Linked DNA regions of Coturnix japonica. The protein of the gene in region 2 purifies or fractionates together with the protein of the main gene of each other region. This does not show direct contact. Links are inferred from orthologs where the notes say so. Each region holds a gene or a part of one and is shown on either strand. Other genes may lie near its edges.

Region 1 (12,180 bases), on a different chromosome or scaffold from region 2:
ACCATTTTCTGTCTGGGTAAACATATGCAAGATAAAGCCCCCTACTGTCATTATCTATCTTGGAGCTCTTACCTTATTATGTAATTTACCTTCCCTCTTCCATGTGACTGCAAAGACATACAGGTAGGCTATTAAAGAGATGCTGAGAAGCCCCAACAATTTAAAGAGTACCTTGTTTATTTTTCGAAGAGCTGCCTCTGCTTCTGGCCGGCTAACATAAGCGACATACCATTCGTCATTTAGTGAATCCTGTGTTTTGTGTGGGAGAGGACAGGGAAGACATCTGTCAGTGAATTAGCTTATGATGTTAATGGAGTAAAAGTAATATTCGAAGATATTTTCAATTACAATTCAGTTTTAAATCTTAGATTCATAGAATGTTTATGGTTGCAAGGAACCTTAAAGATCCCAACTTTCCTGCCTTGGTCAGAGTCACCTTTCTCTTTTGTCTGCCTGGGGCATCAACATCCTTTGCTTTTATTTCTCTCTCTCTCTCTCTCTCTCTCTCTCTTTTTAATAATTGTCTAAGATACTTGTACAGACTTCCTGTGATTATAACATATACACTATAACTATACACGTTCTCATGGTTTTCTCTAACCTTGGCATATTTAAAGCTGTGTGAAACAAAATGCGCCTAATGGGTATGAATTCTCATTGTGGTTTTGTGGAAAGTAATTAATATGTAGTACTAATTTAAAGCAATTGTGCAAAACAAGTTATCCAGCGGGCAGGTCATTCTCACACTTTGTTCTACAAGTTTTTTTTGCTGCTGTTTTTTCTGTTTTCTTTCTTTTTTTTTTTTCCTCAGTGTAGACAAAATAAGTCACTAAATCTTAATGCAGAAAAGGAAACTGAAAGTAGCAACTACCATCCTGACAATGTCTGCTACACAGAAAAAGAAAAGCTTTGAAAACAGTTCTCTCAAAATGAGCATATTTGCTGTGTTTAGTTATTACAGTTAACGCTTGTGATGTTTTTGTACCTCATCTTCATCTGTGTTTGTCTGGTGAGCAGTCTGCCTGCTAGGAATGGGCAATGGAGGTCTCAAATCAGCTGTGCCTCTTGAAGGAGATCTGCTGTTGTTGCCTTTAAGATTTCAGAGTAAGAATAGAAAACAATATCAGGAAATAATTTCATCTGGGGAGTGCATACGGGTATATGGTGGTGAATCTTGACTTTGCAAGGCATGATGAATTTGTATCACTCTGATGATATGTTTCAAATTGATTTGAAATCAGATTTAGACTAATGTATAAAAACCACATTCACTGCATAAATTCACTCTTAATGCACAGGTAATTTTTATCAGTTGAAGGTATCTCCAATTTCTCTAAAAGTGGAATTAATATTAATAGATGCAGCATATTTCACATGGAAAAGTGTTTTCTTCCTTTGTCGAGGCTATTCACATGCCACAGTGATTTGTAGGTAGTGTTGCTCAGCTTTCAGTGTTGTTATTGGAGAAAAATATTTGTATGAATTTTGGCAGTGGTTTAAAAAGTCTATAAGCCCAAACTTTGTGTAGAAGAAAATCTTCTTAGATTCAGAATAATGTACTGAAACTGCCCTGCAGCCTTGAGCCACTGTTTGTGCATAAAATCCACAAGTATAGGATACAAACCCAGGGGAAAGCGAGGTGGTAGTGAGCCACTTGCAGACAGGCTTCTAGCACTGTGTTAAAACAAAACAAAATAAACTACTCAGTATATTGTGTCATTGCTGTGCAACATTACTATGCTTTTAAATACTGATCTGGACTGTAAGCTTGTTTTACAGAACATGGCATCTCCCTGAGTCCTATGAAGGATTGAGAACAGCCTTCTCTTTGTTTTTTATTATTTTCTTTGATGTAAGTAGATCCACCAATAAATTGGAGCTCAGTATCTGGGTGTTTATATATATGCATATTATATACATATAAAAAAACAAACATTAGAATTCAAAAGGAATGAGATGGCAATAGGTGAAACAAACCTTTCAGCACCAGGCATACTGTTGGATCCTGGCTTAGGCAGGGGCTTGATAGATTTTGATGGGAATGTATTGGAGCTGTGTGGGGGCAAAGATATCTGTGGCACTGCTCTTTGGGGTATATCTGTAGAGAAGAGAAGAAAATGTAAAAGTTGCCTTAGTTAGAATGAAGAAATCCCATCACGTTTCTGCTGTTTAGTTAGATAAACTTAATAGAGATTTTTATTTCAAAGTCCTTGATATTTTAGCTATGGACTGTAATCTCGTATGGTCAACTAAGGGCTCAATATTAAGGAAACTGAGAGTAAAATTAGATTAAAAATAAAATAGAGCAGACTGGAACATTTACATTATGTAAGTTACATTTTGGACACTACTGAAATGATATTTTTCTTGCAGCATCCTTAGGCCTCAACTGTAGGTCCTATGGCCCTGTTCTTGATGGAGTCTTAGAGACAAGGGTAAGTTATAAAGATTTGGCCAAATGTTCTGCTTCTGTTATGAAGTCGCTTTACAAACTGAGTAATAGGAACTTACAAAGAAATTACTACTTATATGGAATGCTTATTACATGAAGCAAGTTATGCTTCTGAAATTGCTCAAAAGAAAGAGCTCTAGAAACTTTAAAGTTAGAGAAGAAATACTTACGGTTGTCTTCTTCCTGAGGAACCAAGAGAAAACAAATGTTAGCAACTCATAGCATGCTGTTTTACAAAGCAAAGAGCTGGAAGTTGATAAATTTTGATTACGTTATCTAGGCTATCTAAAATGCTGGAGTTTGTCTTCATACAACACCAAATAACTTTTAAAGTTCTTTTGTTGAGGTGCAGCTATTATTTACAAATAAGCAGTGAAGTACAAATACCATACAAGATGTTGACCCAGTGTATTGTGAACTTTCCTCATTCCAGAAACAAAGCACTGTGAAAGATCCATCAAACAGAAATGTTTACTTTTCCCAGAACTATTAGTTTTACAGGTACTTTATTTTATTGTAGTTCCTATATCTTTACACACTTGCTTTGGGACTATACTTACTTCAGGTCTTTTCTGTTGTGCCCAGCCCTGCCTGAAATGAAACAGAGAAGACAAAATATGAATCGAAGATGGAATATTCCCCATTCACTTGATGTGCATTGGGCTATATTTTCAATTAATACACAAACTTCTAGTAAATTATATTGTCCCATAGAACTCCACAACATTGGGACCCATGCCATTCTATGATTCAGTGATTCTGTGATGGCTGGAACACAAGATGAACCTTCAAGCCTTCATTTATTTGACAGATATTCTTAACTGTTTAGCAGATCTCAATTACTTCTTTATTTTGTTTCAAAATCGATCACGCTATTCAGTCTATGTTATCTAGACAATTATCAATATTTTGCTATAGGATGCTATTTGCTCTGGGTTTTGCAGGCTCATAATAGGAGAGCAAGCCTTTTTTCTTCCTAATACTCCACACAAAATATCTTTGGGATTCACAAAACAATGTTTCTTAGAGCAAGACCTTGATCTGGTGGTTAAAATATGGATCCTATGTTTCTTTATGCTGGTAGGAGGGGAGCCCTGATGTGTGATGGCTACTTGAGCTAGGACTTGACAGGCAGCTCTTATTGCATTCTCTTTTCTGCAGCAAACAGCACATTTATGAAATGTTAATATATAACTTAATTCTTGTTAAAACAAAACTTTGATGTGTGTAGACAGTACTGGAATGCAGTAGCATTTAATTATACCATCCTACATTACTTATCCACATTTGTGTTTAATTTCATTTATATTTTCATTATTATTTAATTAAGTAAATGAACTCTTACTTTGCAGGGATTTGCTTCCTTAGAGGAGATGGATTTCCTCTTTCGTATCTATCACTTGGTGGTACAGGAGGTTTTGGCATCATTGCTAGTTGTTCTCCCAGGGCTCTAAAGCAGGAGCAAGATGATGAAATAAAGGCAAAAATTTATTAATGTGAAAAAACTGATTAATATTGGCATCAAGAGTCTCATGTCAAAAGGCAAAACAAAACTTCTTACCTTAGCTGTGGAGTTAGAAGCTGCGAAACAACAAGGAATAGTTAAGAGCTAAGGATATCAAAACAGGTTAAAAGCATGTAAGGACCAAACTAAAAGATCTCACCTTCTCAGGATGGCTTGGCTTCCTCCCTGAAAATAATAAAAGGTTATGTTTAGAAAAAAACATAACTGCAGATAATTAAACTTTCTATGAGAAAGAAGTTTTGAATATTATCAATGGCAATATTTGGCAAATTGAAGCATGAGGACTCCTGACATAGAAGCCAGACAAAGATTTTGATTTTATAAGCACTGGAAGAATTGCAGTATCTTGATACCTTGATAATTCTGTGATTCTGATTCTGTGATCTTTTATAAAAGGAAAAAGTTTTGATTTTCAAAATGGCATATTTTACAAAAATATTTTCCATGATTCAGCTTTGAATTCCAGAATGCTTCCATACTGATGTGTACCAAGTAGATAAGGAATAGAAACCATGAAGTAGTCTGTTTCTTTCTTTGTAAAGTACAGTATTAAAGTCTGTAACAAATGCCCTTCTTCCTTCCTTTCTGTGTTTAAGTTCTCAGCATTTCTTTTCAGTCTGGTAATGAACTACATAGAGATTTTTATTATCCTTGTATGCAAAGCTGTTCCCTCTTTTAACCTGCTAAGTTTTCCTATGATCATTCACTTAGCTTATTTTATTCCATCGTTGTGCTGTAATCTCATAATGTCTTTCTGATCAACCAGCCCTGATCTGCTACGTAAGTATTTCTCACGTTATTTATTCCAAAACAGATCACCTTGTACTTTAATTCAGTTATGTACATTTAGTTGAGCCTTGATCTTTTGCATGAATTCTATTAGACCTGACAATTTTGATTATTGCTATTTGTACTAACATTCAAGCTATTGATAAGCAAATACTGACCTGGTAGTGGGCTTTCTCTTTCAAATGGTGGAGCAAGGCGATCCAGTGAGGGTTTTGTGCTTCTGTCTATAGAAGGAGCTGGGGCTAAACACAAAAACTGTGTAAGACATTGCGCTGGTACAGGTCGACATAACTTTATTTTGCAAAGCTATTAACTGTTTAAAAAAGTATTAGAAAATGAAGCTGAGGAGTTACAGGCAGTGCTATGTAGCCCATTGACAAAGAAAACAACAGCTGGACTTACGTTTCAAAGGCTTAACACTTCTGTCATTGTTGCTTGGCAGAGGAGGGAAGGCTGGCAGCTAAAACAAACATTTTACACATGGTTAAAATCTGTCCTTTCTATTTTAATGTACACATCATCATATCTGACAGTCTTGTTAAGCACAAAGAATTGGTCTCTTCCCACTATAAGATGGGTAGGAGTCATTAACCCTCCTGAAGAATGACCGACGTGTGGTTCTTTGTCTCATATAGAACCATCTGTCTCATAGGGAATATTTTATAGGGATGTTCTGAAGGACTGTTCTTATTGTGAGAGCTGGGTCAACAAATAGTGCAGCAATCTAGGACACAACTAATGAGAACTTATAAGAAACAAAGACTGTGAAAGAGTTTAATATCTGACCCATCAAATTGTATTGTTCCATGGAAAAAAACCCACACTCTATAAGAGTTCAACTATTTTGACACCTTAAAAACTTTCTTATTCCTCTACACATAATAATTGAATAACAATTTATTTATTACACTTGGATTCCTCCTAGGTACTGTCAAAGTAAATAGGTGAAGTATTTCATTTGCTCTGAAATATCAAGAGAGAAACATACAGAAGCACCTCTTCCCCCAAATGAGGCTGGTGATGGGCTTGGGCCAGGCCGCTGGGGTGGTAGTGGAGGCTGATGTGATGATCTGGCTGTTGGAGGCCTGTCTAAAGAAAAGAAAAATCCCAAGCTCAACAACTATGAAAACGGTTTTGTTATTTTATTCTCATTAGATCTTTATGAAGAGATGTTGCATACTTGATCTGATGTATCATACAGATATTATGTTAGTGTTTAATGGGCTGTTGCTTTATGATAGTGTATGATTTAGTGTTCCTTTGGGAGCTAGATGCTCATCTGTCCCCTTGATGGTGGGACTGTACCTGCCTGGTAACTCATTCTGATCAAGGAACAACTGCTAAAGCTAAAATAGTATGTAAATTTTTCTTAAACTTTATGCAGGCTCCAAACCAAGAGCCAGATTGTGCACACATCACATGAAACTTATCTTTAATCCAACAGAGCTTGTCTGAAGTAGAAGATTTAGCTTTAAAAGGTATAAAGATATGAACTTGCAGCATCTGTGCTGCTTTGAGATAAAGCCTTCTATATCCCGTTAGCAGCCACGTAAATGTAAATGATAATGTGAAAACATTACTTTTTTTATTTTTTTCTAGTAATTACCTATATAGTCTGTGCTGTTCGCAAGTGACTTGGCAGGAAATATGACATTGTGGTGTGCTTCATCATTACTGGATGGAGGTGGCTCATAGCCATCACTGTCATGTTCTGCTTCCTCAGTTTCTTCCGTTGGTGATTCATAGTCAGCCTCGTCTTCCTTTTCCTGGTCATCATCAGGGCTTTCATAGTCGTCATCTTCATCCTGATCATCCTGACCAACATATATAAAAGATGAGTGCTATAACAGGTTACTTTTTTGCAGTATTCTACAGACTGAATTCGGACTTTAGAAACAATTCTGAAAAAAAAAATAAAAGAGGTTTGTGATACAGGTCTGGATACTCTGACCAGAACAAAACCAGACATATACCACTAGTATCTTATTGGGCCCTAACAAGATTGCAGTGTAAGCATGGTAGCGGTCATTGCACACATCTTCTGTGCTGTCTGCCTTGACTTACAGAAGAAGTATTCTTAGACATTGGGGTTGTTTGCTTCGTCTAATGAAGTTTACCAGTGCATTTAGTATGCTGAAAGACAGAAAGCATCCTTTGCAGTCTGTCTGGCTTTGAGAAATTGATTGGATTTTTCAAAAAGTAAACTTTATAGAGAACAAAATAGCAGGATTTTGCCCTTGAATAACACAGTAACCTTCCATTTTCTAACGATTGCTTTCAAGAGCTTGAAATAGGAATATAAACTTTAGCTAGTCATAATTTGTGAGCTTGTACTTGAATCAGTGGTACAAATCTGCTGTTGCAAAGCACTGCCTCGTATTACTGGGCAAAAGCCCATTCCTCAGTGAAATTTGCATGCAGCTACTCCAATCATTCAGGCTTCTCTTTTTCCTTAGCCTAACACCCCGTGCTACTGACTGATCCATCCATACTGTCTAAAGTAGGTAATGCAAGAAATAATAGAGATTACAGAAAAGTTGAGTCAGTCTACTGTTGGACCAGTATGTTATGTTAGTCCTCATACTTACAAATGAAGACCAGCCATCATCTTCTTGACCGTATCCTGCATAAAGAAGTTTAAGCACAGTAAAATTTGAAAATGTCAAGACATTATTTGAAATAAAAGGACAAAAAACCATCCCAAATTCATTCTGAACCACAATGCCACAGTTCCTACTATAGCAGCAACAATGTAGGCCTGTCAAAGGCAGGCAGACTGGCATCCGCAAGTAGCTCATGCAAGGTTCTACAAATAACATTATTGTTTGAAACTAAGAGTAAAACTTTCCTTATGTGAGATTATACAGTGTCTCATCTAGTTTGTCCTGTTCTTCATGCTTTAAAAATCATTTGAAGTAGAATGCTCTCAGAATAAGCACAGCCTTTGTATCTCTTAAAAATTGCTATGGCAATTAAATCTAAAGTCATTTTAATGTCAGTAGACCTGGGGGAGCATTCTCTCATTAGTACAATTGTTGCTGAAGTGTGCAACTTTTTGCTATTTCTTCAATTTTTCTTTTATGCTTTTTTTTGCTTTGCCTTGTCTCGCTTATCGTACTCTACAAAGAAGAACCTACTGGTTTAATGTTTTTACACACTATTTGTGCTTAGAGACTGTCAGTACGCACTTACCTGAGTTTTCAGGACACTTTTGTGTTTGGCCCCTGTAACAAAGATATAAACAAATAAATTCCTTCCAATTGCAATTTTTAAACGTTTTATGTGCACTAAAATGTAATGCACTAAACCTAGTACACTGAATTGCTAACAAAGCTAACGTTTAGATTGTAAAGTAAAATGAAATTTGTTTTAATTAGTTCAACTTCACACAAAATACCATAAACACACTACTTTATATTTCACATACAGTCACCAAATGTCAGCTCAACTGTCCTGAATACAAGGCCAAGTCAGTGAGGTGGTGTGTATGAAACTAAGTGAAACTCAGTGAGTAAATCTATCGGGAACATCAGTCCTTGGAATAGAACTTAACATATAATATATTTGTCAGTAAATTGTGATGCATTTTGAAGTGTAATGATGTACAGGTCTGTAAATTCCATTAATTTTGACTCATTAATATAATGTGTCCATATTTTATAGCATTCTGAAAGAGTAATTTACTCAGTTAGAAAATTGCATGAAATTTGTATCTTTATTGGTTTCAGACATGACAGAGGGATCCAGGTTGTTCATGAGCTCAAACACTCCTATTTTTAACAGACAGCATTAACAACACAGTTTTATTTTATATACTTCGCAGGTGATCCCTCTGACACACAGGTGTTGTGGATCAAACCAATAACAGTCCAGGAAAGATTTGACTGATAACTTTTGAAAAGAAATCAGAGTTTTTCACTTACCATTTTGAGAAGAAAGAGATCCTTCCTTCATTTCGGTTTATATCTTGACTTAGTTTACTCAGAATGCTGTTTAAAAGAACCACAGAAGTAGTTTTAAAAATACTCCTTGAAACCTGGCAGTCACTTTCTTAGCTGCTTTCCTCCCATTTTACCACCATTAAATGAAATGTTATGATTTGGATTTATCGTTTACTATGTGGTAAGAATACTTAATTTCTCTTCTTACTGCAAAGCTACACTGTAGCATAAAGAAAAAGGAATGGCTTGTAACTATGCAGCTGGATGTTGGACTTCTTCACATGGAGAAGAACCTGTATTTTTGGATCAAATTTCAATATCAATGTTAAGCTCAGCAAGCCTTAGAAATTTGGGGTGTGGTAGACGTCAGGCACTAGAGCAGTGCTTTAAATAATCATCTTACATTTGTATTACTTTGCATGAGAAAAGCGGATGCTATTTCAGGAGTCAGCCTCTTTTAAGCCTATGGTCACAGAGTTGAAATTAAGTGCATCTTGTGGCAACTTTTCTTTTTGTCCCCCTTCCTCCACAGTCACTATATGCACAATTAGGTGTCCATCCCATCAGTTCCATGTCATAACATTTATGCAGGGCAGAGCTACAAATGAAACGTAAGAAGAGTAGATCTTTATGTCTAGAGAGATTTTGATGTGTTTGTCATCAGTCATGCGTAGTTTATGTACTGTGTTAAGGGTGAATAACAACCAGTGAAATACAGTCCTCAAAGATCTTTAGGCCAGGAGCGTGCAGTTAAGCTGCACTTATTGCTGGCATCCATACCTCGACAATGATGTTATTTCAAAGAAAGCTTTTGTTTCAAAGAAAACATGTTCTGAGTCATACTCTGATTCTTACATCTCATTTCTTTTAATAGGAAGTCCACTCAGAAAGTCCTGCGGCAGCCAAAGCAAATGGGTTACACACATATGGTTGAAAATACCCCAATTGACTTGCTGATATTAGACAAGTCTAGCAGAATGTGGAAGTAAAAGTATTATGGAGAAAAATCAGGAACCAAATGGGTCTGCTTATGTCAGATTCTAAATTCTGTAAAAGCTTATTTTTCCTGTTTGTAAGAGTAGATTTATTTGCCATAGATCTTAGATCTGGCAATAAACTTTCTAACAGTATTCTAAAATCATTGTATGTGTCCAGGAATTGCCATTCTGTTACCAGTATCTTGTTTTCCTTCCTGTTTTGTATCTTTTTCTGCTACTTACCAACACTGATCCCCTAATTATCTAATTTGGGCATCTCTTTCATGTATAACTGCTTTTCTGGGCTGAACCTGAGTAAGGCAAGCTTTCAAGTGCTCTAGCATTTAACAAAAAGCCAATAAAAAACTGCTATTTTTGTAATCCTGAGCCAAGTAAATGCCTGCTGTTCCCCAGTATGTACCAGCAAGTATCAGATAACAAGTAATTTCATAACAAATATCTAAAAGTGATAAAATGGGTGATTTTAAGTTAGAGATGTGGACTCAAGGAAGACTATGAAAATAGAGGAAGAATGTTCTGGGGGGATTCTTTTTTAGGACTTTTTTGCAAATTTCCAAGTTGAAGCAAATGTCATACTTGCCCCTTTTGAAATAAATACATGCACAAATGTTAACAACTTAAGAATGGTTACAGAATTATCACTATCTCAATCTGGTGTTGTCACCCAAGCAAACTCTACGAGGGAAGAAAATACCTGAATTACAAGCTTCTCTTTTTTCCTGTGGATTCGATGCTTGCATGCACAATAAATCTAGTGCTGCTGGTGATCAGTAAGTTGCTGTGTGAATAGTAAGACTCCAGTGAAACATCAGGAAATGTTCTGGTGAGAACTGTGCCCTGCTTAGACACGTGCTTTTGTAGAGAAGTGGATTACAAAACTTGTGTTTGGCTGGTTCAGCATCATAGGAGAGGCTGAGGAAGTGTCTTTCAAAATATTGAGCTCAGTTTCTGCTAAAGAAGTAAAGAAAAGGCCACGGGCTTTAAAGTTAATAGTTGTTTCAGTTTAGAGTCCCACGGGTGTGAATATGACCTGAGTGTCTGCAGGCTTTATGGACTGAACATTGGCTGGCTGTTGTGACAATTTGCATCACCCAGTTTTGAGGGAAAACTGAAAGAGAAAAGTTGCTCATTGTATTCGCTCAGCAAATTAATCATTTTCTGCTTAAAATCCAGCATGTAGTATTTGAGTTTATTTTAAATGGTTCAAACCAATGGCTTAGAAAAGAAAGCCTGGTTTAAAATGGTAACTTTACAAGCAACTTCATTACAGAAGGTACGTGCAAAGAGCAGCTGAGTCTGTAGCTATGTGAGGAAGGAAGTACCGAAACCACACTGCTTTCTGAGTTGTGGGAGTGTGTGATAGGGCAGGATAAGGCAACAGCTCTTGCAGAAAATGTTACTCAGACTTCTCTTTCTCTTTCTGCCCCCTTCACCCGGCACTTAGCTTAAAACTGGCAGGAAGTTAAAAAAACCCACACAACTACAAAAACACCAGTACTCCTAAAATGACTTTTGTTTGGTTAGTACAGATATTGCTGAAATGAATAGAATCCTTTCTGCGTGTATTAGGAAGAAGAACTTAGGACAGGTGAAATAGAAAGAGGATGAAGTGCTCTAAGGCCAGAAAGTCGCATAGCTTGAATGCTGCCAAGGGCATAGTTTGTGATGGAGGCTTTGTTGTGGCCTTTGAATAATGTCTGTTGGGCAGATGCAACATTATTATGTTGCCTTCTAAACAGACTGAGTATCAATTAAGTTTTAAACTCCACAACCTTTCTGGGCAGCCTGTTCCAGTGCTCTGTCATCCTCAAATTAAGGATTTTCCATATGTTCAGATGGAACTTTCTGGGATCCAGTTTGGGCCTATTTCTTCTTGCCCTGACACTGGATAGCACTGAAAAAAAACCAAAAACCTGGCCCCATCCTCTTGACTTTTGCCTTTAAATATTCACATATATTGATAAGATCCCTTCTCAGTCTTCTCCAAGCTGAACAGTCCCAAATTTCTCAGCCTTTCCTTATAAGAGAAGCTCCAAGTCCCTAATCTTCTTTGTAGCTTTCTGCTGGGCTCTCTCTACAAGTTCTCTGTCTTTCTTGAACTGAGGAGCTCAGAACTGGATAGAGTACTTCAGATGTGGCCTCACCAGGGCAGAGCAGGGTGGGAGGAGAACCTGCCTTGACTGGCTGATCACACTCCTTTTAATGTACTCCAAGATACCACTGACCTTCTTGGCCACAAGGGCACACTGCTGGCTTGAGTTCAACCTGTTGTCCACCAGGACACCTATGTCCTTCTATGCAGAGCTCCTTTCCAGCAGGTCAGCCTCTAACCTGTACTGATGTGTGCAGTTATTCTTCCCCCGATGTAGGTCTTGACATTTGCCCTCACTGAACCTCTTAAGGTTCTTCCCCACTTAGCTCTACAGCCTGTCCAGGTCTCTCTGAATGGCAGCACAGTCTTCTGGTGTGTCAGCC
Region 2 (12,621 bases):
TGAAATCACACAGATCTAATAAAAAATACAAAGAGAAGAAGATGCTTATAGAGTCTAGGTTCAGATCTTGGTATGAGATCCATGCAGTTCCTCTTGGGAATGGCTGACTGTAACCTTGCATAATGTTCTAAAGTACATAGTTTTCTAACATTCTGAACACTATAAAATTCATTGGCTTGCAGGGCCATGTGGTTAGTCAAAGAAGAAAAAAATGTATGGTTACAACAGGTTTACTATCACTTAGATAGATATCAAGATGTGCTCAGGAAGTTCATTAGAGAACAGAACAGAGAACATCAACACTTCAGTTATAGGAAGTCAGTACTTCAATGTCTGCTGTGAAAAGTACTCAGACTCACTGCTACAAGTTATAGTTTTGAAAAACAAATAAACCCAATACAGAAAATATTCCTCCTACACTATGTGTTACTGAGAGAGAAATAGTATAATTTCTGTCCTGCCCAGAACAGGTAAAAGCATATATTAAGGCTTTAAGGGCTCTCTAATGCACAGGTTTTGTGTTATTTTTGAACAGAATTGACAATTTTACCTGAAATGAATTGATTGCTGAAGGGGTAGAAATGAAATTAAAGGAAGAACATAGAGGACTCACTGTCTCTTGGGATGCTCTTCTGGAATCTTTCCAGGTCCACGCTGGGTGGTCGGCTGGGCTTTTGTGGGGGTGGTCCCAGCTTGAACAGCGGGGGCAAAGACTTCCGTTTTGGAGCTCCTGAGCTCCTGTCCAAGTCATCCTTCTCGTCTGACCCACCCAACGACCTTCCTGTAGCAAACGTTGTGCTTGTTTTAGGGAATCTGGGGGGAGATAAACCAGATTCTTCCTGGATGATTTTGTTCAGAAAGATATTCCTGGTGGCACTCACTCCCTTTTCTTCCGTCTTTTCCTCTGCATTTTTGGGAGTGACTTGAGATGCACTGGACCAGTGACCAGTAGGTTTCAGAGCCATGTTAGAAAAATGACTGCTTGCAGTTTCTGCTGCGCAGTTACTATTTTCATCCGTTTCCTTTCTTGCTTTAAATGAATGTATATTTGGTCTAGGGCCTGCTAGACCTTTATGTGGGGAAACATTTTTACTTGAGGTGTCTTCATTGTGGGAAACTGCATGGTTTACAGAAGGCTTTTGTGCAAGAGCCGGTTTGGAGAAAGAAGGCTTGGAATCATTTTCTTGTGTGGCAGACATGAACTTTTCCTTAACTCCGGCTACTTTTGAAAAAGATGTTTTCTCTTCACTCTCTTGTGCTTCGGAATTAAAATTTGGCTTTGTTCCCAGGGGCTTTTTTTCCTTCTCTTGAGGAGCTGAATTAAGAGGCTTGTTCCCTGCAGGTTTTGGATACAGAGGCTTCGTCTCTTCTTTTGCCATGTCACTGCTTTTGGTAGGGGCTTTAGTGTATCCAGCTTTTCCATCACTTTCCCGATTAGTTGCCTGAAGTTGAACCCCAAACTTTTGCCCCACTGGTTTCAGATATGGGGGCTTTGGATCCTTCTCTGTCTTATCTTCAGTTGAAGGCTTGACTGCCAGAGGAGGCTTAGAATGAGCAGGTTTTTGAGAAACACTGGATCCTGAAGAAGAAGCTGCATTTCCTTGACTTGCAAATTTCTCAAATACTGCTTTCCTTGTTTGTAATCCTGAATGGGTTGGTTGTCCTGTGACTTTAGAGAGTCGAATGTTGCCAGAAACATCCTCTGAGGGGTTGTTACCCACGTTAAACTTCGCCATGAGTGACTTCACATTTGCCTTTCCATTCTATGGGCATAGAGAAATGACAAAGAAAAAGAAACAATGAGAAAGTGTCAGTTGAAATGTTCACACATACTGTACTTTAAAGAATTTCCTGGTCTGACGCTTGTAGTACTGCTGATTGGCTGTGGAGATATTGTAGCACATCTTCCTGTAGGGTTAGAAATGCTAAGCACTTTGTTGTATCCTTGCTGTGGTTATATAATCTTTTAAATTTTTCACTACAGGTTCTGCATTCAGACAGTAGTCATTCTGTTCCTTTTGTTCACAGAGTGATTACTGATTATTTCTGGAACTAGGAAGTAAACACCTAGTACATATTTACATGAAGATATCCACAATTTCAAAATTAAAGTAGTCCTGAAGATACAAGTATCCTATGCTTAGAAGCATAGAATACACTGGAATCTGAAAAATACATCAGAATAGTGTTATTCACATCAGATCTTTGGAGAACTGAAAGTTGCATAAACAGAAAGTCTTCTGTCTTGGGGGGATTGTATGTCAAATTTTCTTTCCCTTCTGAGCAAGTTGCTTCCCTACTACCCTCCACCTTCCCCTGCTTTGTCCTTGTTTCTGTTCTCCATTTTGTATCTGATAAACACTGTACATGGATAGACTGAAAGTGAAAATATATGGAGCAAAATAGGAAGAAATGACAATCAGTAAGCAAAAATACTGTAAGAAAGAGAAAAGGAAGAAGATGAACAGTTGAAAGTGGGTAAAACTCAGTTTCATTAGAAAATGTTTGAATTGGACAGCTCTTTTTAAGAACTTTCAGCCTTCAATATGAACTGTGAATAAAAGCTGAATACAGTTTGATACATTGCAGCTGTTACACAGTGCAACGAAAGATCTTAGCAAAGGGAAGTAAGGTGGTCACACCACAATGGCCTGAGTCCACTCTTGTGTTACAGCTGTCACCAGCAGCAGGGGCTGCTCCTTTGCCAGCAGACAGTGGTGTCAGAACTGCTTTTACTAATTAAGATCCATTTTATGAAGGAAGGTCAAAATGTAAAACTAATGTTATGAAGCAGGGATGTTATAGCTAGGAACTGATCTAAATTCTTTGTTTGGAAACAAAGATTATCACTATCCTGTATATAATGGTCTGAAAAATCCTTTTAGAGTAAGATCAATAAATGAACTGTGCCTTCAGCCAGTACGGTTTCAGTGAGCATTCAGTAATGTTTTAACTTCATTAACAAGATCTTCTGAACTGTGGTTGTCTACTCCTTTTGCCTTCTTTTTGGTTTTATCATGTTGAATTTCCTGATATGTTGGAGTAGTTTCACTTGTGACTTCTGCAACATAAAGTTAACCTTCCCAGTCTTTCAGTATCACCAAGAAATTCAGTCTTTCCAAACTGCATTGTATTACAGAGCTACTGTCTTTCTTTTAGCTATCTGCTAAAAGAAAAGCAGCCAAAACAATATGAAAGCTATCCCCAGAGTACTTAATTATCTATTTTTCTCTTGTAGGAAAGGGAGGAAGCACACATTTACCATGGAGATTATCAGGCTTAAGCTATCTACTGTTGGTTGCTATACATACGCTCAGACACACACACAGTTACTCTGCATAGATACATATATATATGTATATGTACATATATATAAGATTTTTCTCATAGAGCCTCACAAAGCACTGATTTTACCCACATGATGAGAAAACTAGGCTAACTTCAAAGCCAGAAAGAATGACAAAATGTTCTACCTTTGATCTCTCTTGAATCAGGACTAATGCTATTTTTAATTTTTTTTAAATTTATTTTTAAATTGTTTCTTTGTTTTTATAACTTCTGTAGCAAAATCTAAACAATCAGAAATACAGGGTTTTAAGTATTCAAAACTTGTAACTGACAATCTAATCAATAACCTGGCCATCACAGAAGCTTATTTCTTTTGAAAGATATAGGAATAAATTGATTCTTCTGCAGTTTCTTCCATTTGTAATTAAGGAAACCATTCTGTACTAAGCCACAGTAATGTGAAAGTTTGGGATGAAAAATATTCAGCACATAAACTTTTTGGAAGTTTGAAGTATGGCTTTCAAGAAAGTTTTCCTGTTGTGATGTGCAGTTTCTGAGAACTTTTCTATATCATGGCAATAACAAGATCAATTACATAATTGATCATACAGGCTTTCAAAGGCAATAAACAATCCTCTACTGCCTGGCTAAGAGTGTTTATTTTCTGTAAGGACTACCAACATCAATAGATTTGTTTTTAAAAATGTCTTTATGGTACTGTGAATAGATTTCAAACCTTGTTCTCATCAAACAGATCTACAAACTCATAAAAAATGAGCTCCTGGAGATGTAGAGGGGCTTACAATCAGCAGCATAACTTGTCTCACTCACAGGAAGATAAGTAGTGATGGTAGCACTCTAAGAATCCAAGGAGGGTAAGAAACTAAGAAATCCTTCTGCTTCTCTGTAATGTATATAATCATCTCCTGATTTAATAAACTTATAACAGAAGCCATATCGAGGATTCTAAGCTTCAGTTTAGCTTCTCAGTTAGACAGATGGAGAACAAGAATAAAGATAATCTTTTATTGGTGATCTTTGCTGTTTCTGCATTTCCCTTCCCAGAAGTGGCAGCAGTTACCTTTTCCTTTAGCACATACAATGCGTTGTACTTAACGAAACAGGAACTTGAAAAGATTGTGAAATTGGACAAAGTTTACCCCATTGTTCCTACCCAAAATGCAATGTGCTTGTTAGACAGAGGAGTGTCATGAAAGAAGTACTTAGGTAATATTTGGAACTTTCTGTTTGCATTCTCTAAGGAGACTTAATACAGAATATTTCCAATCTTTCACCTTTTGAACTGAATTGGAAGCAGCACAAGGTAAACAGTAAGAATTTCTTTGCAAGGAGATGGAAGCATTTAAATGTGTTTGACTCATATCTAGAAAAATACTCTGGTTTTGGTTCCCATGTGTAGATCAAGGAGTTTAGCATAAATGTGCTTTCCCGTTTTCCAGTTCCTTCAGATAGGACCCACACAGATATGAAGATGCATTTGTACAGAATTCTTCAAAGAGTTTACACTGAAATTTAATTAAAAGTGAAATTTGCCATTATTTACAATATAACTATACTTTTTGTTGTTGTTGTTGTTCAAAATAACGGAATAATAACAACAGAAGTAAAAATTCTAAATCTATTTTTTCCTGAATTTTCTCTGTAAATGTCAGTCAAAACTGGCAGCCTGATTAAAAACAAAACAATATGAGACAAAATAAGCACTTTTGTTTCGGAGTAAATATGTATCATTTAATTTCCATCTTGATGGAGCCAAAAGAATACTTCACATCAGCTTTCCCTTGTGGTTTCTTTTTCTTCGAGTAAATAGCAACCCTGGATTAATGAAGGCATCAGCAGATGTGTGCATACAATTTTTAGTTCAGTAAATAAAATGCGTGTTACTATAGACTGTACAAGGAATCGTGCAGTTCTTCAAAAGTTGTTTAGATCTGGTTTATTAAGGGAAAGAACTCTTTTTGCTTCTCATCTCTAACTTTTTATTTCTATTAACAGATGATATGGTTTAAGTAGGTTTTTAAAAACTCTTAGTATTGAAACAGAATAATGAATTGATGAGTTTTCTAGAAAGTAACACAAGAAAGTTGACAAAGATAACACTTTAAGAATAAAAGTGCACATACTTATGTACTCTGTTATTGTGAAAAAATCACAAAAGCTGCTAACCACTGAAGGAACTGAGCTCTAATCCGCAGACAAGATATAATGTATAAGGTACAGGGGAAAAAAAGGTAAAGAAAATGACAGTGAAAATTAAAGATAAATACAGACCTGAAAATCAGTTGGAAATATAAAAGCCCAATTTAGGTTCTACAGAAGTTAAAGGACTGAGGGTGTTTAGCTGTTTGCATAAAATCCTAGTGCTGTTCTAAATTAATGATAAATTTTGCTTGACTATTTCTTTTTCCGGACAGAGAGACTTCAAAATTACCATTGTACAGCACTTATTATTATTATTATTATTATTATTATAATTTCCAGAAAAGATAAATAATTTCCAAGTTACTTGACTTAATTCTAGTTGTAATAACTAGTAAAGTAAGGCTTCTTTTGATTATGAGTTCAACATTTGAAAAGCGGAGTCAAGATACTGCAGTATTCTGTACTTACAGATGTAAATAGTAGAAACGTGAAAAACAAAGACAGCATCTGCTCACATAGTAGAAATGATAGATATAATGATTGCAAAGTAACGAGCCCTATATTTCAGATGGGAAATATTCAAAGGTGTGGCAGTTATTCTCTTTGCCTTTCTTGAAAGGCAGACCTTTATGATGGAAAGGATAGATGGAAATCTATGGGATTCCTCGGAGAAAGACCAACAGCCTCTACATCCTCTTGATAAAATCTTTTGAAATATCTGATGTCAGCAGATGAAAGTAGCACATACACACAAAAGTGGCTGTCAAACTCAGACAACCTGACCACACTGTATTCCGTATCTTTTCCACTGTGTATTCCACTAAAACTCTTTTACCCCTCCCTTGTATTGTTTTCTCATCTTTCATGCAATCCTAAAACCAAATCCATAATGTTGTATAAAAAAATAAGAACAATGTAATTCTTCTACTCTATTCTGCATACAGCATCATCCTGATCTTTCTACTAAAGCTAATGTATCTTGTCTGAATCTCAAAAAAACAAAACAAAACAAAACAAAAAAAAAACCCTCAAGTTCTTGCCACTGAAAAATTCCTACAACTACTTCTAGAATTTCAAAATCCCATATCATTGTAAAGGATATTTTGTGCAGTGTTCAGCCATTAAATACTGTTCTGGAGCTCTGCTGGAAAGAAAAATATCTTCCATGACCCAGTACAAAAAAATACTTACACTGATGTCTCAATCCAGAGTATGATATATGTAAAAAATATATACCTCCAAAACAACAGCCACAAATAATACAAAAAGATTAGGCTGAGTTGTAGCTAGATAATTTATGACATTATCTAGAAAATAATTACCTCTAATTTCTCTTGGTCTTCTACATGCAAATGTCACTTAAAGTAGGGCTGCTTTTAGTAAAAACTCAGGCAACAAAACACAAACCTTTGAGAGAAAAAAAACAGTCTCATCAACTTGGCAACTTTTCAGCCAAACAACTAGTTGCAAGAAAATTTTACAGTTAGAATTTCCACTTATACAAGGTTGTGTAAAATATCTTGCACTATTTATACATACATATATATACATTTCTTGAACTTTGCATTTTTATTTATAAGACAAACAAGTACAATTTACCTGGACTTCCCAAAGCTCTCCAGTATTTTAATATAAGCAGAAAAACAGGCTCCCTCAATGAGATAGTCCACGGGAGTTTGTCACATTAGCAGCCTATTGTGTTTGCTGAGAGGCGTTCTTCTCAGAGAGGGTTTGCCTAAGAGAGACTTTGCTTGTGGTTTTCATTATCATGACCAGTAGAAAAAAGCTGCTGTCCTCAGGATATTAGGCAAGAAGTGGCAAAGGAAAAGGGAACTAAAATATGTTCAGACTGCTCAGCTGCTGCCACCAGCTATATTCATTAGATGATATCTAAGAGCACTGTGAGCTCCGGCATTTCATTTACACCATACTGCAGTCCCATGAAGCTATAATGGTACATATAAGCTTGAATTTTACAGAACAATATTTAAGAAAATATTTTTGTGGGAATTAAAAACTTGAAGAAAGCATGTGGACCTTTTGGGTCATGAAGTCTAACCACCTTCTGCCAACTAGAACCACTGCATCCATTCCTACTCAACAACTGAAGATGTCAGCTAACATGTTTCTTTGCTCCCACTATTTTTTTTTAATAGTTTCTCAAGACATTCTGCTGGCCATTCTTTCTCACAAGCTTTTGCTTTAACAGTGTTTCTGTTGTTGTTTTTAAATAATGATCATATTTTATTTATTTATTTGTTTGTTTACTTACTTATTTATTTATTTTTACTGTTTGCCTCTCAGTTTACTGCACAAACCAAAGACTTTAAAGTATGATATAGGATAAGAAAGTTGATACTGAGAAAATGAGCTTTATGGGAAACTCCAAACCTGTGCTTGTGCTGAAGATAAATTTAAACCATAGGGGCAGAACCTTCTGCTGAGCACAGCTCAGTGAAGTTTCTGCAGCTCTGCGTTGTAATGAGCTTGCTGTTGAAAAAATTTGTCTTTGAGCTTCACTAGTTGTTGTTTGGTTCTTCCTCATTCTTTAATTTTTTTTAATGTCTATTTAAAGCACTGGAGGTGCTTGACATTTCTGTATTGGTTTTACAAACATTTTAATTTTAGCTAGTTCAGAAGCCTATTGGAATGTTGAATGAATCTTATCTGAGATAAAAATACTACTACTTTATCTCTATTTGTCACTTGCCAATGAAAACAATTTTTTTTTTTTAATTCCATCACTGTTGTATTTTTTTTTTAGCAAGACAAATGCAGTTCTGAGCAATATTTATTCTGCTATGGCCTGTATTTGGTTAATAAAATCAAATTTATTTGTGAAAATACATATTCATCGCAAATGATGAAGCTTTTATCCTTAACATTAAAGCAGATTGGACTTTGTACCTTGGTATTCTATTTGGTAGTCTGCACAACTGTTTTATGGTTCTATATGCAACAAGGTAGTCTTTTCACACTGGTAAACACTACTGCAAGGCATGGCTCACGGTATCAGGCAGTGATCAAAGAATGAGCTCCTGTTCGCAGCTCTGAGCGCTAGACAGTTCCTGTTTTCTCTTTCATCCACTGCACTGTTGTAAAGACATTCCAAATTGATAGAATGCTGCCAAGAAAATGAATTGCAACAAAAACACTGAAAATCACAGATTAGGTTGCAAAACCGCTGTGACCATTGCTCATCTACAATGTGTATGATTATTTTCTACTTGCAGGTGCAACAGCTTCCAGGATCCCCCCTTTTTTTTTCCATGGAGAGGGGAATATATTTCTGAGTATTTGGGGGAATTGGCTATTTTTATCTGAACAATATCTGAAGGAATTAATATTTTAAAGAACATGACCTGCAAGCCTGAAAGTACACTGGATCTGTTTTATACTTTCCTTCTACTTTCTGCAAAACCAGAAGCAGAAGCAGCAATAACAGCCTCACAGATTTAAGCACCACAAACATATCAAACAAAGATAGCACTTTCTTGTACAGAAGCATGCCATTACAGAATTTTTGTAGACCAAAACTGGCATCTGAGGCCCAGCATAATAATGGCTTTCTAAAATTTCAGGAGCAAAATTTATCACTGCAGTGTGATAATAAAGTGTGCTTTTTGTTAATAGAGCATTTACTCAAATTTTGGTTTCCACATATATTTGGGAAAAGTGGCTGCTTAATAATTTAATTTATCATAAGTAGACAAAAGATGAAAGGGGGAAAAGGTGCCTCTGACTTGCCCTGCTTTAAGATGCTATTTTTTTCTTTAAGGTAACTTTCATACATTGGTGTTGTCCTTCACTCTGGAATGGTAGTCAGTCACAACTGTCTGAACAGCTTTAGGCTTTCAGGTCAGTGCTCACAAACAATGCCACAGTCATGATCTTGTCACAGACATGGATGTGTTGGTATCTTGATGTGCTGTGAACTGGAGAGGTGAAATTATATTAAGAAAAAAACTAAACAACAACAACAACAACAAAACCACAACATTTTTGCTTTCCAAGTTGTTTTAGCATGCTTCATTTCATTGATCTTAGTGATCAATGTGATTCCAAAACAGGTATGATGGCATAACAGAATTGATTGTGAGGGAGACTGGGAGATGAACAATACAGAAATGATTTTTTTTTTTTTTTTTGGACCAGATAATCCTTATACCATGTCTAATAAATGTTCATGGGAAAACCCCTACAGACAAGTGTACTAATATCAATAAAGCAAGCTTGACAGTCCTCTTCTTGGGTCAGAAGGTAGTTGTTCCACCCATATTGTAAAATGCATGCAGATATGCGGAGTGCTTGAGAAAGACAACTCAGTTTCTCTCAGAAGCCCGTCTTCCAGTCTCCTCATAACTCCCATAGGTCTTTTGCCACCTAGTGGCAGACCAGGCTCAGCAGAAGAGGTTATGTATATTTCCTACTGAAAATCTGTTGCACGCTCCGGTTTTCACAGGGTTAGTATATCTAGTTACATGCCACTCCTGGGAGATAACATTTCAGCAATTCTACCACAGTCTAAAGACAAGACAATGAGTTAATATGCCTGCTTAGACCTGTTGTGCCAACCGTGGGAGTAAGTGCTGAGAGCAAGTGCCATACAACTGCTGCTCATGACAGGTAACCACGGCTATGATCCAGTTACAGAGTCATTTTGGGAAGTACCTGATTTTCAGTAGAAATTTGATATTCATGAACACTGGCAGGAGCTTCTGTTTTTATTGCTACATTTCTTGTTAGAGCAGTCTGTGTTATCTTTGTATCTGCAAGATGGGGCCAGACTTCCTGAAATGTGTGCTATTCCAATTCCACAACGCTGATAGTTGAAAGTGGTTTTAGTATTTCTGACAGAAGTTTGATGTGGTCATGAGCGAATTAACGGCATTGTCTCATGTCTAAATGCACTGTCACCCATACAGCAACAGCTGGACTTCCCAGATACTATTTGTGGACAGCTGACAGGCAAGATTCTCTGAAAGTGCATCAAGTTGATGCTGTTGTTCTTTCAGACTGCCATAATTAAATCCTTGTAATCCTGTAAGTGTTGAATATTATTACCATCTCAAGATCTTTTTATACTAATGGAAGGCAGATTTTGAAAACTGAAGAAAGAAGGCAAAAGATGATGACAGTGCCAGTTAAACTTCATAAAGAAAATGTTTCTGCCACAGAGGAAAGCCCAGAGTATCATAGTCATGTGCAAGCCTCGTGGATCAGCTTGGCTGTAAGCACTGCACTAAACCACTTCTTCCAGAGCATAGGTCTTCCATTGAACATCAAAAGCTGATGTAAAGCCCCTGCAGTACAAAAACAAACAAACAAACAAACAAACAAGCACAAGCAAACAAACAAAAAACCCTCTTACATTTGAAAAGATAGAAGTACTTCTTTTTTATAGCTTGACCTGAGACCTGTTGGCTCAGACCGTAGGAAACTTTTCCTTGAAGGCAAAATCTGTGTTTAGATGCAGAACCTCTCTCTAGATGGACGACGTGGGAATGCTGGGCCTTCTCTAAACTATCCACAGGCACCAGAAAAACTCTCCTGATAGTTCAGAGCCTACTGTGATGTACAGCAACCCTGATGTGCTCAGATGCACCTCACTGCCCCTAACTTCCCACACACCACAGTTCATGCCTTGCTGAGGGGCACAGTTGGAAGCTTGATTAGATAGTTTGATGAGCTAAATAGCAGGTGATATGCATGAAGCTAAGTGCTGCTTTTTCAGTGGTGAGCTCGGGGCTCATGGGAAGGAGAAAGTTTAGATATCCTGTCCACAGGCCTGGGGGCCATCTCGGTAAAGCATGCAAGGCAGGAAGCTGCTAGAATCAGTAGGCGAGGAGAAGGCTAAAGAAAATGGGATAAGAAGGAGGGTGGAGGAGCATGGCACAGCCACAGTGAATTGGGCAGGGCATTTTATATGGGGAGAGGACAGCTGGGAAGGGTGGGCAGCCATTTGTCTCTTCACAAAGTTGTGCTCCCTCACTTTCCCCCCACCCCCCACCTCACCATGCACCTCAGCAGAGCCTGTCTTTTCCCTGCCCTGCCCCACCTTGGTTCTACCTCTTTGCATTATCCCTGCCCAGACTCAGAGTGCCAGAGAATGCCCTATAGCTGGCTGGGACCAGCATACAGTCCTAGGGCCTCAGGATGGACAGCTTTAGTAATTACTGTGTCCTAGAAGCAGGAAAAGAGAGGAATTCTGAATTGGGTGAAGGGTGTATTTGGTGGGAAGTGAGGAATATACATGGTCAAGTGGGTGATTGTCTGCTGGTCTGAATTCCCCCCTAGCAGATATGCTGGGACATGAGGGAGGAAGCAGCTTTCACACAGAAGTTATTCAATTACCTCCCACATATACCCCAGTATAAATGGTTTGGTGGGGAACTATTTGGCCTGGCTTTCCCCTCAGCATGCCCCCAGCTGCTGTTACCAGCAGGAAGAAGAAGTGGAAAAGCAAGAGGAACAGACATCCTTAGCAGAACACCCCTAACTTCCCTTTTTCCTCAACATGTCCTTCTCCACCTCTGCCTGAGAAGGAAAAAAATGTTCAAGAACATGCAAATAACTCACCAACAGTTGTGCAAACTCTATTCTGTTTGCACAGAACAGAAGGGAGGGGAGAGGGGGATGTCTCTTGGCTTCCCAAGCCTTTACGTGCAAATTTCTCACGCTTTTCATGTGTTAAGCACATGCCAGCTCATCTGATTTTAGTTTGGAGAAGCAAAACAGAATCCCATGTTTCCTAAAAAACATCCCAGCTCCAAGCATGGTCCTGCTCTCACTCTTTGCCCTTCTGAGCAGAAGACTTGCAGCAGATATCTGTGACCGTTCAGGTATTACCTAGCTCATTTGCCATGAGCTTTTCACAGATGGTAGCAAGGGGCCTTTACTCTTCAAAATCTCTCCCTTAAATTTTTGAAGGAAATAACCGGTCACTAACAACTTTTTATTTAACAAAAAAATAAAAACAGTATTCACAGTCAATTTTGGAAAGTCAAGTAATCCCTGACAAAGTCAAGACAAAAAAAAAAATATATATATATATATATTTTAATGATATGCAACTGATGTTAATTCACACTTCAGGTGCTCTCAAGTAAGTACCTGTAACATGTATGGCTGAATTTGAAAACATTGCCAAGCTGTTGTCTACCAGGACAC

What was found.
Region 1: the proteins of FYB1 (region 2) and LCP2 purify together in Homo sapiens (co-immunoprecipitation; 6 studies listed by BioGRID and IntAct, with this or other methods). This does not show direct contact. The link is inferred for Coturnix japonica from reciprocal best matches to the Homo sapiens genes FYB1 and LCP2.

Annotation. Positions count from the first base shown.
Region 1 is NC_029528.1:13,159,462-13,171,641, forward strand, and holds part of LCP2 (lymphocyte cytosolic protein 2), read right to left. Parts: intron 8,756-12,180; coding exon 8,690-8,755; intron 7,991-8,689; coding exon 7,959-7,990; intron 7,390-7,958; coding exon 7,355-7,389; intron 6,581-7,354; coding exon 6,373-6,580; intron 5,856-6,372; coding exon 5,755-5,855; intron 5,227-5,754; coding exon 5,169-5,226; intron 5,009-5,168; coding exon 4,925-5,008; intron 4,143-4,924; coding exon 4,117-4,142; intron 4,034-4,116; coding exon 4,014-4,033; intron 3,903-4,013; coding exon 3,798-3,902; intron 3,044-3,797; coding exon 3,013-3,043; intron 2,636-3,012; coding exon 2,623-2,635; intron 2,099-2,622; coding exon 1,978-2,098; intron 1,675-1,977; coding exon 1,625-1,674; intron 1,090-1,624; coding exon 986-1,089; intron 250-985; coding exon 172-249; intron 1-171. UniProt on the Homo sapiens protein: Adapter protein primarily involved in signaling pathways within T-cells, as well as other immune cells such as platelets, mast cells, and natural killer (NK) cells.
Region 2 is NC_029547.1:11,266,207-11,278,827, forward strand, and holds the start of FYB1 (FYN-binding protein 1), read right to left. Parts: upstream 7,212-12,621; 5' UTR 7,051-7,211; intron 1,764-7,050; coding exon of another isoform or gene 1,737-1,763; coding exon 614-1,736; intron 1-613. UniProt on the Homo sapiens protein: Acts as an adapter protein of the FYN and LCP2 signaling cascades in T-cells. May play a role in linking T-cell signaling to remodeling of the actin cytoskeleton. Modulates the expression of IL2. Involved in platelet activation.